3 linked regions of the Arabidopsis thaliana genome follow. The protein of the gene in region 1 interacts with the protein of each later gene in a pairwise test. Each region holds a gene or a part of one and is shown on either strand. Other genes may lie near its edges.

Region 1 (4,544 bases):
AATCATAAAAAATAATAATTATATTAAATAGATAAATTTATCAAAATGAACATCAAAATCAACAAAAAACCATAATCATATTTTCCAACAATTTTAAAAACAAAAACCCATGCGTAACATGGGTGTTCATCTAGTTATAATAAAGATAAATCGTTCTTTAATTTGTTCTGTTCTTGAATCACGTCACGAATCATACAGAAACTAAGTTACAGCTAGTCGGCTTTGATTTGAAAAACTACGAAAGTAAATTTACTAAGTTATTTTCAGATCTATGGCATCAATTCTTTTGAGTTTTGACATGTAGTCTATTTTTTAATATCAACTAAATATATAATTTTAATACTAAATGCTACATTGTAATATTATAATATATATAAAAAATTGTAATAGTAAATCCTACATTGTAACAAAAGTGATTTTAAAATCTCGAAAAAGTTGAAGTAATAAAATAAAGCTTTGACAGATATGCTTATAAAAATTTACAATTTAATTTGTTATTTACTAAATTTACATTAAAAATCTGTAAATTTTAATAAATGTCAAATTTTATTTACAAACTGACATGTGTTTATTTCATTTAATATTACAATACAATTATATCTCATTGCTACAAAGATATTAATAGCAAATGGACTGATTTCTGCAAGGTTTTTGATATATAAAGACACCCCATACAACTCAAAACGATTCATGTCCTAGTGGTGAAGCTTCTACCCGTAGTAAATTTCTGGTTTGCTTTTCCTTGAACTTTTTTACTTTTATGGTTTGTTACTCTGAAGTATTTTTACAATTCTTCTTTGACTTTACCGATCTAAAGTTGGTTATTGTCATGTTTATTGCATGTACTGTTAAAAAATCCGAGTAATTGTTAATTAAGATCTCTGATGCAAATTCCTGTTCTTTTTTCCAACGATTTTAAGTTACTTTTAAAGAAAAGAGGTAATGTGTTTGAGAAGATAGAAATCAAAATTAAATAATTAATTTCTTCAGTGAAAACAAATAATAATAAAAAATCATTCTCTTTGTTTGGAAAATACAGCTCGATCAATTGAAAACCATGTCGGAAGGAGACAGTATATTTGTGTATAAAGGAGACAAGCCGAAGCCAACCAAAATTGATGCAAAGGCATATATTAAGGCTGTGAAGGATCATTTTCATAATGATAGAAAAAAATATGAAGACTTTCTTGCGATTATGAAAGATTTTAAAGTTCGCAAGTATGTGATATACATAGTTTTTGGAAAATATGACTAAAAATGTTCGGTTCAATTTTTTCGTGTTGAAGAAGTAATTAATTTTGATTTTATAACTTCATTGCAGAATTAGTAGGGCTGATTGCATAACAGCGGTGAAGGAACTGCTTAACGGAGACCAAGACTTGGTTTCTGGTTTCAATGTATTTTTACCAGATTGGTTGGAGATCTAATTATTAGATTGGGGCATGAGATGGGTAGGTGATGTTGTGGGATTTCTTCGTTCGTCTAAACCAAGTTCGGTTTAGATTTGTATTAAATTGAATAATTTATTTGTGATTCGTTCTTTTATTTATTTATTTAGGAATTATGTTATGAATTTAGCCATTGTGTTTTATAAATAAGGCTGTATGATCTTTGTTGCTTTCAATTAACTTCATAATATTAATCTTTTTTCAACTCGTTACTCTTATTATTCAAAATATCTTAAAACGCTAGAACTTCACATTAACACATAGTATAAAAAGCAAAGTATACTAGGTGTTGTTATCAAATTTATACTAGGAATGTATACTAGGTGTTGCTATTGACTATTAATTAGAGTTGTTGAATGTGATGTTGTATTAGAAAATACTGTAGTTCCTAAACATTAACCATATCAAATTAATTTAACACATATATGTATGTAATGTTATGTCAAAGTCAAACTAAGAAATATATGTTTTGGGGAAATTATCTCTTTAGTCTAAACATTAATCTCTATTTTCGATTAGATCATCCCTATACTAAAATTAGCATTTCACATTTTTTACTTTTTTTACTTTTCTCAATTAAAAAGTTTTAATTAATTAATTAAAAAAAAGAAGAAGATTTGCCTTTTTCCTTTTTTAAACCGTACTTTTGATGTAATCCTTAATTATATAATCCAACGTTAAGTGTCGGAAACTAAACCCTAGAGAAATCTCTTCTTCTAGTTCTAGTCTCCTGCTTCTTCGAGATCGTGTGTCGTAACTCGTAAGCTAGGGAAGCCCTTTTTGTCTTCGAATTTCGGTAACTATACGATGATCTTCTTCTCTTATTGTCATTGAATGATTTTGTAGTTTCTGGGATGATTTCGAATTGGGTTCTTCGAATTTAATTTCGTACCTGTGTGATCAATTTTACCTGAATTTCATCAAATCCGATTTAAACCCTCAAATTAGCGAATTAACTTCTTATTGTTTTTGTTAAGACTGAGATTTTAAGACTTCTAAGTGTTTGGTTGGTTTGCTCTGTGTTGATATTGGCCACTTTACACAAGTTCTCACGTTGGTTCTGATGGGAATGAATTAGTTGTTGTTGATTTTGGTTTTGACAATTATTTGGATTTTGAGAAATTTAGCTTATTGCAGCTTTATGTCTTGTTCAATTTCAGTGTTGAGGCAAATCATAGATTTAAGTAATGTTATTAAGATTTCTGCACTCTAGGTTCTGTTTCTTCAAGTGGTAATAATAGCTTCTAGGTTAAATTCAATGATGTGATCTGTTTTACTGAACAAAAATCTTCTCTTTCTTTTGATAACAAAAGGCTAGATTCAAACCATGGTTGGAAGACGAGTATCACCTGCTCTAACTAAGGATGATGCGCATTCATACATCATTGCTGTGAAGGAAACATTTCATGATGAACCTACGAAATATCAAGAGTTTATCAAGCTCTTGAATGGTGTTTGTGATCATAGGTATGTATTCTTTTCTTCCCTGTTATATTTGGTTTGGTCTTTACTTTCAACTGTGAATTGATTCTGATGTTACTAGTCTCTTTTTGCAGAGTCGATAAATATAGTGTCATTGCAAGGGTGGAGGAACTGATGAAAGATCATCAGGATCTTCTTCTTGGTTTCAGTGTCTTCCTTCCACCTGTTTCTGTAGAGGATTTTATAAACAAGCTCAAGGTAAACACATGCTAAAATGACAAATAATCCTTGGAGAGAAACACCAAAATCCTTTTTTGATTCCTCTTTTACTAACTAGAGCAAATTTGTCCATCTGCAGACACGGTTTCAGAGCCTTGATACTCATGTAGTGGGGGCAATTCGCGGGTTAATGAAGATGTTTAAAGAGGGAAAGATGTCGGTAAAGGAGGTGCAAGAGGAGGTAATGTTTGTTCTTGGTGGGCTATTTTGTGTACTTGTGTTTTTTTTTTTTTTTTTTGGTTCTCTTTGTTTGATTTGGTTAGAAATAATATTATCTTGCAGGTCATTGATGTTCTCTTCTATCATGAAGATTTGATTGAAGACTTTCTCAGATTTTTCACAAAGAACCCTGTATCAACAGCATCACTACTACTACAATTATAACGAGTGATGTATTTTTTATGAATGAGAATGGAGTGTATAGTTTCTTTTGTAGAGGTTTTAAATCTTTGCTTTTCACCATGAAGAGGATGAGATTTGAATTTGATATACTCAGATGATTGAAACTCAAAGTGTCACAAAACTCAAAAATACTTCTCATAACCTTATTTTGTTTATGTTGAATTTTACTGATGAAAAACCTATGAAAGATCAAACATTTTTTTAAAACTCATTTCTTAGTTTTGTTATGTACTTAATTAATGGTTGTTAAAAAAAGGGTTTTGTGTAAAAAAACACTTCGAACTCATCCATTTTTACAATTTTATCCTTCACCTCCAACATATTGAGATTAATCCTATGAAGTCTAAAATAATACGCATTGTAACCCTTCTTTGTTTTTTTCTTTACTATTAATTTTGTAAAATATTGACATGTAATATATTAAATCTAAACCCTCACGATGAAGAGTTCAACTCTGCCTTCAAAATTTTAAAATTCTAATGTATATCATCGTAAAAACGTTTACAATATACGTATAAATGTCATATTGCGTATTATTTTAAACTTTATAAGATTAATCTGCATATATTGGAGGTGGAGGGTAAAGTTACAAAAATGGATGATTTAACCCTTTTAAAAAAAGTACATAATTAATTAAAATACACCAAATAATAAAAAAAAATCATTAAAATAAATAGAAAATCTTACATAACCTTGGAATCATAATACATAAACAAAACCCTACCGAGACTAGAAACTCGTCTCCCCTGCTTCGTGCTCGTGATCGTGAAGCCTTCTTCATTCGTCTTTGGTACCTATACACATGTGTTCTTCTTCTTTTTTGTGTGATCTTCGTTACGTCCACTACAAGTTTTATTTTCTTTGTTCATTGCCTTTGTAGTTGCTAGATCTGTTGCTTGTTGTAATTTGTATTCGTGGGATGATATCGAGTTCCTTGAATATATTTTTCGTAATATGTGATAAGATATCAAATCCGACTGATGAAGTTTAATC
Region 2 (5,797 bases), on another chromosome or scaffold:
ACCAAAATCAGAAACCAAACCGGTTTTGAAAAGATTACTAATCATTCACCACCAAACCGGTTCGAACTCGAATCATCATCATTACAGATTATTCGTCGTCTTGTTGTTGTTGTTTACAACTTTCTTGACTTTCTTGAAGTATTTCTTTATGTTTTCCCATTTCTCTTTGCATCTCTTTTCGGTGATCACTTGTAAGTATCCTTTCGGTGAATATCAAAGATTTCTCACTAACGCCCATATGTTTAGGCCCACGCCCATTTGTTTAGCCCCAATAAGGCTGAATCAGCATATCAGATCCATTTCATCCTACAGTACACTTTTAATTCGAAAGTTGCTCCGACACTTTAGGCCCACGCCCATTTATTTTCACTTTTTTGTCTAAATATATATACATATGATATAATATTCTCTCTCTATTTTTTTTTCCCTTTCAAATTGTAATTTTCTTGAAACCAAATTGTATTGTTGACTCTTGTTTTATTATTTTCTACTTAAATAAAAAAACGTTGTGATTATTGATTAATCTAGTAGATAGATTAAATTATTGTATCATCTCAATCTAAATCAAATTAGAACATAATATTTGCCACACAAGAACATAAAAAAATTGTACATTTGGTTTGGTTTATTTGAATTTGGTTCCATAGTCTCCTAACTAAGAAGAAAAAATAAACACTTTTGAGAAACGGACGAACAAGAATCAACATATCTTGATACAAGACTAATTAAAACACCTAATAAAAAATCACCCAAAAAACAAAAAACAAGAACAATGACTAGCTTTTCTCTTCCTTGTTCACGAAATTAGTCGTAGAAGACGAAGAAGAAGAATTCTTGAACATAGAGAAGGGAGGAAGTTGCGACGATGGTTGATCCAAAGAAGCACCCGTTTGATTACTCGCCATAATGTTAGACATCAATAAGCTGCTAAAATAGCCTCCACATCCTTTGTTATTATTCGTCGTGTTGGTTTGTTGAATGTTATTGCTAATCGAATGCCGTGGACCGACAATCTGTTGTTCTCCATTTGATCCGACCATAGTTGAGATGGCAGCAGCGATCACCGAGTGGAAACTTGGGTCGGAAGTAAGCGCTTTTGTTAGGGTTTCGGTTAAGGACTGGCTATTTTGGACTGTTTTTCCTAGGTTGGACGTCCCAAATTGGACGTTGTTGTAAGGATATGGAGTATAAGAAGAATACCCATTACCCCAAATCGCGGGTAGGTTGAGAGTAGACGGGTTTGATGATGTTGATGAAGTAGAAGAGAAATTTAGGCTTGTAGATGGGAATCTTTGGAAAGAGTTCGAGAATTTGTTGAAATTTAAAGAAAGCAATGAAGAAGAAGACGAGGAAGAGTGTTGTGGAGCAGTGAGGTCTAGAGTGACGGTGGGATGTAATGGGGAGTGAAGGGTGGGTGAATAGAAGGATTTGTTGTTGTTGTTGAATCTTGAATTGTCGTAGAGGTTATTTCCGATCATTTCAGCGGCTGGTGAGGAGGAGGAGCCAGAGAGGAGCATGGAGGCAGCGGCTGATGTGGTGGAAGCCATGGTGGTGGCTGAGAGTGGAAGAGAGTGGCTGTGTGTTCCTTCATAGGTTGTGATTAGTATAGACATGTCATCTGCACATCTTTGGACCTAAAACATACATAATCGAGGACAAATAGTTAGATCGTTTCTTTTTATTTGTACACTGGTCACAAATGTTTCTTACTTTCTATAATACCATGGAAACGCAAAGGCAAACGCAAAAAATAAAATAAACTGAATGATACATTTTTATCTTAAATTATGTTGTTCAGTTTAAATTGAATGATACATTTTAACAACTAAAATCAGATCCAACTCAAACGGAAATGAAAATAAAACCAGACGAAAAATTCAAACCGATTTTTTATTCCATTCTTAAATAGACTATATAGAATACGAAATATACCTGTTTTCTAACGGGACATCCAGGTGCAACCGTGCAGCGATAATATGCTCGTGGACATGGATTTCCTTTCGCAATCTTTTGTCCATATTTTCTCCATTGACAACCATCATTCATCTATACAACATAATTAATAAACATGTCCGAATCAACATTAGTCACATATAAATAATCAAATCTTTTAATTAACGTTATAGATCAACTTATTTAATGTATAATTTAAAGGACGTACCGTTGGTGTGTCACATCTTGCTCTAACACAAACTCTAGCTCTCTTAACATGGTTTTGTTGACCGGCCTCACCGTCAGCATCGCCACCGGAGGCTGGTGCTGGAGAGCTTCTCTTCCCCGTAACTTTACCTGGCGCCCAAGCTTCTTCCGAGCCAGAATTTGCACGATTCTCCATAGATAAACCCTCTTTCGGTTCACCTCCGTTGCCATTATTGATCCCTAAGGTCAAGCCGGCCTTAGTCAACTCTTCGTCAGCGTTGACTTCTGCGCTGATTGCGTCCGTTTTCTCTTCCTTTTTGGGGACGCTATCACTTGGGGAAGAACTTCTTCTCCCTAGTGAAAGCGATACAAGCTCGCGTTCTTGGTCAAAAGAACTCAAATCCGTCGTCGTTGGCTTGGGATGATCAACCATGTTTTGATTTTTAGTTGCGGTGTTTGAAGGTTCTTGTTGAATTATGTCGAAGAATCTGAGCTTGAGAGATTTGTAATCACTTTCAATTCGTTCGAGCATTCCTTTAAGCTTCTCGTTCTCTTCCTTCACCTCGCTCATCTCTGCCTTGGCAGATTCAAGTTCTTGATGATCACCATCACCCTGATTAATATCATTGAATAAAAAAGTTGATTAATTTCTCAACTAAATCTAAAAATGTTCTTTATTCTAAGTTTCTAACACATCATACTTCCATTCTTAATTCTAACGAATTATTCAATATTTCTAGATAGATAACTAATATAATCTTCCCGTTTCCATAAAAAAAATGAACATGGTAGAGTTTTGAGTTTTTCTTTTTAAACCAATTACGATAATAAGAAAAAAGAGAGAGGCCATTATAGAGTGGAAGAGACATCTCAGGATACAAGAATTACGTTAAAGCATAAAACACACCGATAAAGAATAAGAACGGTCAGTTTTCTGGTTTTGTGATCTAAATTATTTCCATATACATGTATAATTTTGTATATGCACATATAGAGTTGGTATTTACCTTATTAGCTTCATGGATTTGAACAGATCCAAATTTATCCTTAAGAGGAGACTCTGAAGAGGGTAATTTCAAAAGAACCTCCATTGTCAGAAATATCAGAAGATTTTCGTCTTCTTCTTCTTGTTTGGATTTTCTTTTCTTTTTGTTGTCTGTTTTTTTCCTTCAGAAACATATTATCAAACCCTTTACTTATAGCCATTTGTGTTTGTGTGTAGTTTCTTCGAGGGGACCCAAAGCGTCAACACTTCAACATGTTCAATTTTTTTATTTCATTTTTATTGAATTTCAGTACCTTTTCCTCCAATCATATCTGTGTTATTTATTTTAAACTAACTAGCGAAAAAAGAAATTATTTCCTGACTTTGTTGGTAATAATACTACTTCTCCGTTTAAATAGGGTCAATTAAAAAAAATATTACAACTAGTACATCGAAAACGAATGATCAAACTTAATAGAATTCCTTACTGGTATTTTGTTAAAAAACATATAACACAAATAAAATCAAATATTTATAACCATATATACGTGAATCCAATAATATTTAAATTAAATCTAATGAAGAACTTTTAACATGATGAAACTGTGATGAATATAACAGAAAGTATAAACTTCCTTCTCATTAAGTGAAAGTGTAGGTAAAGTCTATATGGATCTTGGTTATCAGATCAGAGTATTATTTAAATGTCCAAATGCATTAAATGAAACCAATACTTACAAGAAAGAGCCTAAATGTACGGCGTCAAATAGAGATTCTATAATGTGAAAGGATATGTCCTTGAAGCTTCATGGGAGAAGACTTCTTCTATCTATTGGCCTCACATCAAATGAGCATTCGTCAACTCTCTAAAACTTAATATTGTTTCTTTATCGAGTGTATTTATTAGTCCTCCCTCATCAAAAACATGTTTTATATTCCAAATATCTACAAGTTTATACATCCATAGACATAACATTGAATTAATCCATGTGTGATAAAATTTCTGATTGATAATCGAAATGATTTTGCTCTTACCATTTTAGTGACAAAAATTGCCATTTTATCGTATCTTAAGTTCCGTTACTTCATTATTTAGGGTTTCTAACGTTTTTGTTCTGTAAAAGTTTCGAGTATAATTCAACAATAAGTCATTAAGAAACAAATCTAAAAGTCAAATCATGCAACAAGAGAAAGGAAAACAGTATTAAGCATTTGATTATTGTTATATATGTAAACCTTGTTCATATGGTAGGCCAAAGGGTGCGTATACTGGTCAATACGCAGGTCACACACGGTAATTATATGATTTTGTCAACTATTGACTTTGTTATTAAGGAAATTAATCCTTTTTTTATGTCCCAATGCTATTATCATATTCCTGTTACATCTTGTTTCATTTTACAGCCAACATACGAATGTCAAATGCTTCACATAGTTGATAGTTGTCAAATTTCGTCAGTGACGTAACGCTGCATGGCGTTGAAAAAATAACATGCATTTTTTTTCCGTCAAAAGACACTATTTGTTCTATTCTCTTATTTTATATTTATTAATAATTTAGTTTCAACTCAAGATATAACGAAATATATTTTATCATTATCTATAGTTATACGCATATATATAAGCGTTACTCGAACACAAGTATGATAAAATTTCGAAGAGATTACATTAAGTAGCTAACCATTTTCTTATTAATGTATAAGCTAGCAAATTGTCGTCTTTCCTGTCTCCAATTTTTCAAACCGGGCAATTTATTAGTTCTAATTTCAAATCAATATTTGTATGGCCCGTATTATAAGAAACAAATGATTTTTATTTTTGATGGCTCAACATTTAAAAAAATTATTTCGTGAATGTGATTAAATTTAATTATATGCCAAGTTGAATCTTAAATACTTCATTTGGTCTCGATCCAAATTTCAATTACTTTTTTCCTTTTGGGGATCTGAGCTCCCACAGAATTTCTATTTTTAATCACAAAAAAATAATCTTAGTAGACATTTTGATCAACTCAACTTACATCATCCATTTGTTTTTCATTTTTTAGTATAAACAAAAGACTTTCTTGTTAACTATTATAAATGTGTACAGTTCATAATATGGTTAAGTAAACAATCGTGGTCGCAATGTGGCTTTTGTTTAATTGATTAACTACAGCTAACTATTGAATTAGTAATGAATGAGATATTACATTAGGTCATTAGCACGTCCCACATGATTAACTCCAGATTAACTAAGTAAAGTTACGTTACTACATGGAAATTTCAAAGTATTTTATAAGAAATTTTGTTAATTTGTTGCCATTCCGATTACCTACCCGTAATTTCCTTTTTTCTTTTAATGTAAAACTGTATCGTTTTCTGATAACCCACATCGTCACTTTTTTTCTAAAGAGTGATGCTGAAATTTAAATATTTTTGTGTGGAAACTTATTGATGGCTTAATCATCCATAATAAGACAAAGAAAGATTATCAACCTTTTAGTCTTATTTAGACAATAAAAAGTCATTGGTCAACTGTATTAATTATTTTTCTTCTAATTTAGCGATAAGTTTGTTTAATCAGTTATAGAGTAAATAGTTATGTTCATATGGTCGCACTGTTTAATAAATTTGCAAGTAAGACGATTTATTTTTTTTTTTATTTTTTTCAGACAATGAGTGAACGAAATGG
Region 3 (4,490 bases), 8.2 Mb from region 1:
GAAAATGGAACTAGTGTATCAGCAGATGAAATCGGATGTTTCCATTTATCCCAACTGGACCACGTTTAGCACAATGGCCACAATGTACATAAAGATGGGTGAAACTGAGAAAGCCGAAGATGCACTGAGGAAGGTTGAAGCAAGGATTACTGGTCGTAATCGCATTCCGTATCACTACCTCTTGAGTTTGTATGGCAGCCTTGGTAACAAGAAAGAGCTGTACCGAGTCTGGCACGTCTACAAATCTGTTGTCCCGAGCATTCCCAATTTGGGTTACCATGCCTTGGTCTCGTCGCTGGTGAGGATGGGAGACATTGAAGGGGCCGAGAAGGTATATGAGGAATGGCTTCCAGTCAAGTCTTCTTATGACCCCAGGATACCAAATCTTCTGATGAATGCGTATGTCAAAAACGACCAACTAGAGACAGCTGAGGGGTTGTTCGACCACATGGTTGAAATGGGAGGAAAACCAAGTTCAAGTACGTGGGAGATTCTAGCTGTTGGTCATACCAGAAAGAGGTGTATTTCAGAGGCTTTGACTTGTCTTAGAAATGCTTTTTCGGCTGAAGGGTCCAGCAATTGGAGGCCCAAGGTGTTGATGCTGTCTGGTTTCTTCAAGCTCTGTGAAGAGGAATCGGATGTTACCAGTAAAGAGGCCGTTTTGGAATTGTTAAGGCAGTCGGGGGATCTTGAAGACAAATCTTACCTAGCTCTTATTGATGTGGACGAAAACAGAACAGTAAACAACAGTGAAATCGATGCCCATGAGACCGATGCGCTTCTAACACAGCTACAAGATGATTTGTAATCTGATAGTCCTAGATCTTTGCTTTAAAAAACGAATCTTGTAACCGGAGTCAACTGAGGAAATGCGAAATATGTATAATGTACACAAGAGACTGCCTAGTGAAACATGAATGTAAGAGCTGTGTCCCTTTTTGTGACAGCTATTTGGAATTAGTGTTGCTTAGGGAACTGGATTAGCCTTTGTTCTCTTGTTTGATTGTTGTTACTTGTTAAGACTAATATTGGAGAGGTTAGGTTGTGCTCTTTTATTTTGGGCCGGACGGATAAAAGGCCCGATATTGAATATATAAGTCTGAGAGTCTCAAAGGCCCATCTCCATTAAGATATCTTCGCGGAATCGGTTGTGAGAGAGAGAGACGGTGATCGGGAAATGTCGACGAAAGGCGCGGCGGCGGCGTACCCTAGCGCGGCTCGGATATCTGATTCTCCATGTTATCTTCAGTACTCTGCTTCTCTCAAATGTGAGTCATGCTCCTGATCTCACCCTTTGTGATTGTTTCTTCGAGGATAGGATTTGACATGTTATCTTCAGTACTGTCAAGTTCCATAACGAATTAGCATTGATTAGATCTCATCTATTTCATTATGCTTCCTCAAGGTGATTAGATTAGTGGGTTGAATCCCATGTCAGTGATTCGATTTAGGTCCCATCAATTGATAACGTCGGGTTTGATTCCTGATTGTTTATGTGTTTCCGTTTTCATTAGTTATGCCTCTTAGCTTGACCCCTTGATTTCTTATCAGGTCTTGAAGAATTTGGATCAGACAAGAGTAAATGCCAGGATCATTTTGATGTGTACAAGGAATGCAAGAAGAAAGAGGTTGTTGTTGTGAATGAATATTTAGGCTTTTGGCGTTTCCAACTTCTTTGCTGCTTTACCTATGTGTTATTTTGTTTCTCAGAGGGAAGCTCGACTGGAACGCAATAAGACACGGTCGTTGTTCTCGTGAATGCAGATCCTCGAATACCAATGATGTCTCAGAACATCACCTAGCTAGTAGTATCCTGTTGTTTCATTTGCAATGGCTGTGTTTGTATGATCTATCTAAGTAAACAAGTGGAAAGTGTTTGTTAATGTTACTTTTTACTCCCCATTGGTGAATCATGGTGTATACCTGTTAAACTTTGAGAGCAAGTGGTTATTTATTTAGTTAGAGAGTTAGAGCTTCTCCACCACCATATTGAATAAGAAGATCTTTCTCTCATTCTTTTACTTTACTCTGGCGTCTGAAACAGATCCAGGGATTCCAGTAGTGAATTGGGCTTAAAAACTGTTATATGGGCTTTCGAAAGTAAAAGGTTCGGTGAGCTGCCAAAGAAAAGTCAGATGCCTTTAATCGCATTTGACGACGATTCTTTACGTGCGCCATTGACTGCATCGTCGTCTTCCTCACGCGATTTGGTAATCCGATTCGTCTTCATCTGATTCCCTCCCTTCCGAGAATAATAATGTACCCGCCACCTCCCTCAAGCATCTACGCTCCTCCGATGCTGGTGAATTGCTCCGGTTGCCGGACGCCTCTCCAGCTCCCATCCGGCGCCCGATCTATTCGCTGCGCTCTCTGCCAGGCTGTTACTCATATCGCCGACCCTCGCACCGCCCCTCCTCCGCAACCTTCCTCCGCCCCTTCTCCGCCTCCCCAAATCCACGCGCCTCCCGGTCAGCTGCCTCACCCCCATGGCAGGAAGAGGGCCGTGATCTGTGGCATCTCGTATCGTTTCTCTCGCCACGAGCTCAAAGGCTGCATCAACGACGCCAAGTGCATGCGTCACCTTCTCATCAACAAATTCAAATTCTCCCCAGATTCAATTCTCATGCTTACCGGTACAGAGTATTTCTATCTTTTCAAATGCCTATGTTTGCTACTATACTACTATTCCTTGGATTTTGAATACAATTTTCCTTGGCCTCTTCAATCTGATAAACACACATTCCAAGTTACCATTTCGAACCACTTTGATAAAAATGTGTTGCATTCCATAGCTGACTAACTAATTGTTCATCATGGATGGTTTTCATTCTCAGAGGAAGAAACTGATCCATATCGTATCCCGACCAAGCAAAACATGAGGATGGCATTGTATTGGCTCGTACAGGGATGCACAGCAGGCGACTCACTTGTCTTCCACTACTCTGGTCATGGTTCGCGTCAAAGAAACTACAACGGTGATGAAGTTGATGGCTATGATGAAACACTCTGTCCTCTGGATTTTGAAACTCAGGGGATGATTGTAGACGATGAGATCAACGCAACCATTGTACGCCCTCTTCCACATGGTGTCAAGCTCCATTCAATTATCGATGCTTGCCATAGTGGTACCGTTCTGGATTTACCCTTCCTATGCAGAATGAACAGGTTATTAGTCCCTCAACCGCTTCTAAAAGGGATGTTGCTTACCTCTCTCGTTATATTTAACATACATCCATTTTTTTTTTTAATTGAAACAGAGCTGGGCAGTATGTGTGGGAGGATCATCGGCCTAGGTCAGGTTTGTGGAAAGGAACTGCTGGTGGAGAAGCCATTTCAATTAGTGGATGTGATGATGATCAGACTTCGGCCGACACATCAGTAAGTAGAACGACTCTAATCATACGTCTTGCTGTTGTAGTTGGTTCCTCCTCTCATGATTAAAACACATACACAGGCGCTGTCGAAGATCACGTCTACGGGTGCTATGACTTTCTGTTTTATTCAAGCAATTGAACGCAGCGCACAAGGCACAACCTATGGAAGCCTTCTGAATTCTATGCGCACCACAATAAGGAATACAGGGAATGATGGTGGTGGTAGTGGTGGAGTTGTGACGACTGTGCTGAGCATGCTTCTGACAGGGGGAAGTGCGATTGGGGGATTAAGACAGGTAAAATTCTTTCTTGCTCTCTTGTGTTGATACAGATCGATAAATGTTTTCTTAAATCTGTTTTTTGACAGGAGCCTCAACTGACTGCTTGCCAAACATTCGATGTCTATGCAAAGCCTTTCACTCTCTAGTAAAGGACAAGTCACTTTTTATGTATAGCGAGTGTGATTTGAGAATCCGTCCATATAACCACCTTTTGTTTCTTATTTTTATTTTTCTTTCAAAAGAATAAAGGAAAACATTGATTTGGTGATTCGATAACAAAATGTGCCATCTATTCTTTAGTCTTTACAAACAAGCAGCAAATGGTTTGCCTTTCAGAATCAAAATTTAAGGTGTTTCTCGAATAGACAGAAGGAAGAGAAGAGAAGTCCCAGAAAGCTGTTCAGAAGGCGCATACAAATCATGTGTGCGTTGCTGCTGCAAGGAAAAGCACTTCCGCTGTAGCAGCCTGTTCTTTGTTTGATACCCCGGCCGTTATCTTCCAGTACAAAGGAGGAGTTTTTCACACCATCGCTAAAGAGAAGACACCAAAAGAAGGTACCTTTATGCAACCTAGCCATTCCCACTCCAACCTCGGTATGCGACCTGTTTCTGAGCACCGACAACGCACTGCTATCTCTAAAGAGAATGTCTGAGAAAGCGACTTCTGGTGCTGCATACTTAGAGCTGCAGCCGAGGATATGGCCAGTTATGGTACCAAAAGTGGGGAGTTCTACACCACAGTTTGGGGCAAACACCTGAGTGAAGTCGTCTTCAGGGTGTTCACAGCTGAGAGTGTTGTTGACATTGCAATTCCCCTCGCAGAGCTCAACATACT

Evidence for each region.
Region 2: the proteins of AT1G24210 (region 1) and WRKY72 interact in a two-hybrid assay, tested with the Arabidopsis thaliana proteins (one large-scale study listed by BioGRID).
Region 3: the proteins of AT1G24210 (region 1) and MC1 interact in a two-hybrid assay, tested with the Arabidopsis thaliana proteins (one large-scale study listed by BioGRID).

What each region holds. Positions count from the first base shown.
Region 1 is NC_003070.9:8,572,759-8,577,302, reverse strand, and holds AT1G24210 (Paired amphipathic helix (PAH2) superfamily protein), read left to right. Parts: upstream 1-2,118; 5' UTR 2,119-2,244; intron 2,245-2,761; 5' UTR 2,762-2,775; coding exon 2,776-2,915; intron 2,916-3,004; coding exon 3,005-3,128; intron 3,129-3,228; coding exon 3,229-3,330; intron 3,331-3,431; coding exon 3,432-3,533; 3' UTR 3,534-3,759; downstream 3,760-4,544.
Region 2 is NC_003076.8:4,901,859-4,907,655, reverse strand, and holds WRKY72 (WRKY DNA-binding protein 72), read right to left. Parts: upstream 3,367-5,797; 5' UTR 3,231-3,366; coding exon 3,147-3,230; intron 2,784-3,146; exon of another isoform or gene 2,753-2,783; coding exon 2,162-2,752; intron 2,047-2,161; coding exon 1,933-2,046; intron 1,635-1,932; coding exon 777-1,634; 3' UTR 562-776; downstream 1-561.
Region 3 is NC_003070.9:409,626-414,115, forward strand, and holds MC1 (metacaspase 1), read left to right. Parts: upstream 1-2,038; 5' UTR 2,039-2,257; coding exon 2,258-2,633; intron 2,634-2,834; coding exon 2,835-3,165; intron 3,166-3,257; coding exon 3,258-3,378; intron 3,379-3,454; coding exon 3,455-3,670; intron 3,671-3,741; coding exon 3,742-3,801; 3' UTR 3,802-3,929; downstream 3,930-4,490. Other genes in the region: AT1G02150 (Tetratricopeptide repeat (TPR)-like superfamily protein), read left to right, coding at 1-808; AT1G02160 (Cox19 family protein (CHCH motif)), read left to right, coding at 1,178-1,268, 1,552-1,736; AT1G02180 (ferredoxin-like protein), read right to left, coding at 3,994-4,490. UniProt on the Arabidopsis thaliana protein: Cysteine protease that cleaves specifically after arginine or lysine residues. Does not cleave caspase-specific substrates. Acts as a positive regulator of cell death.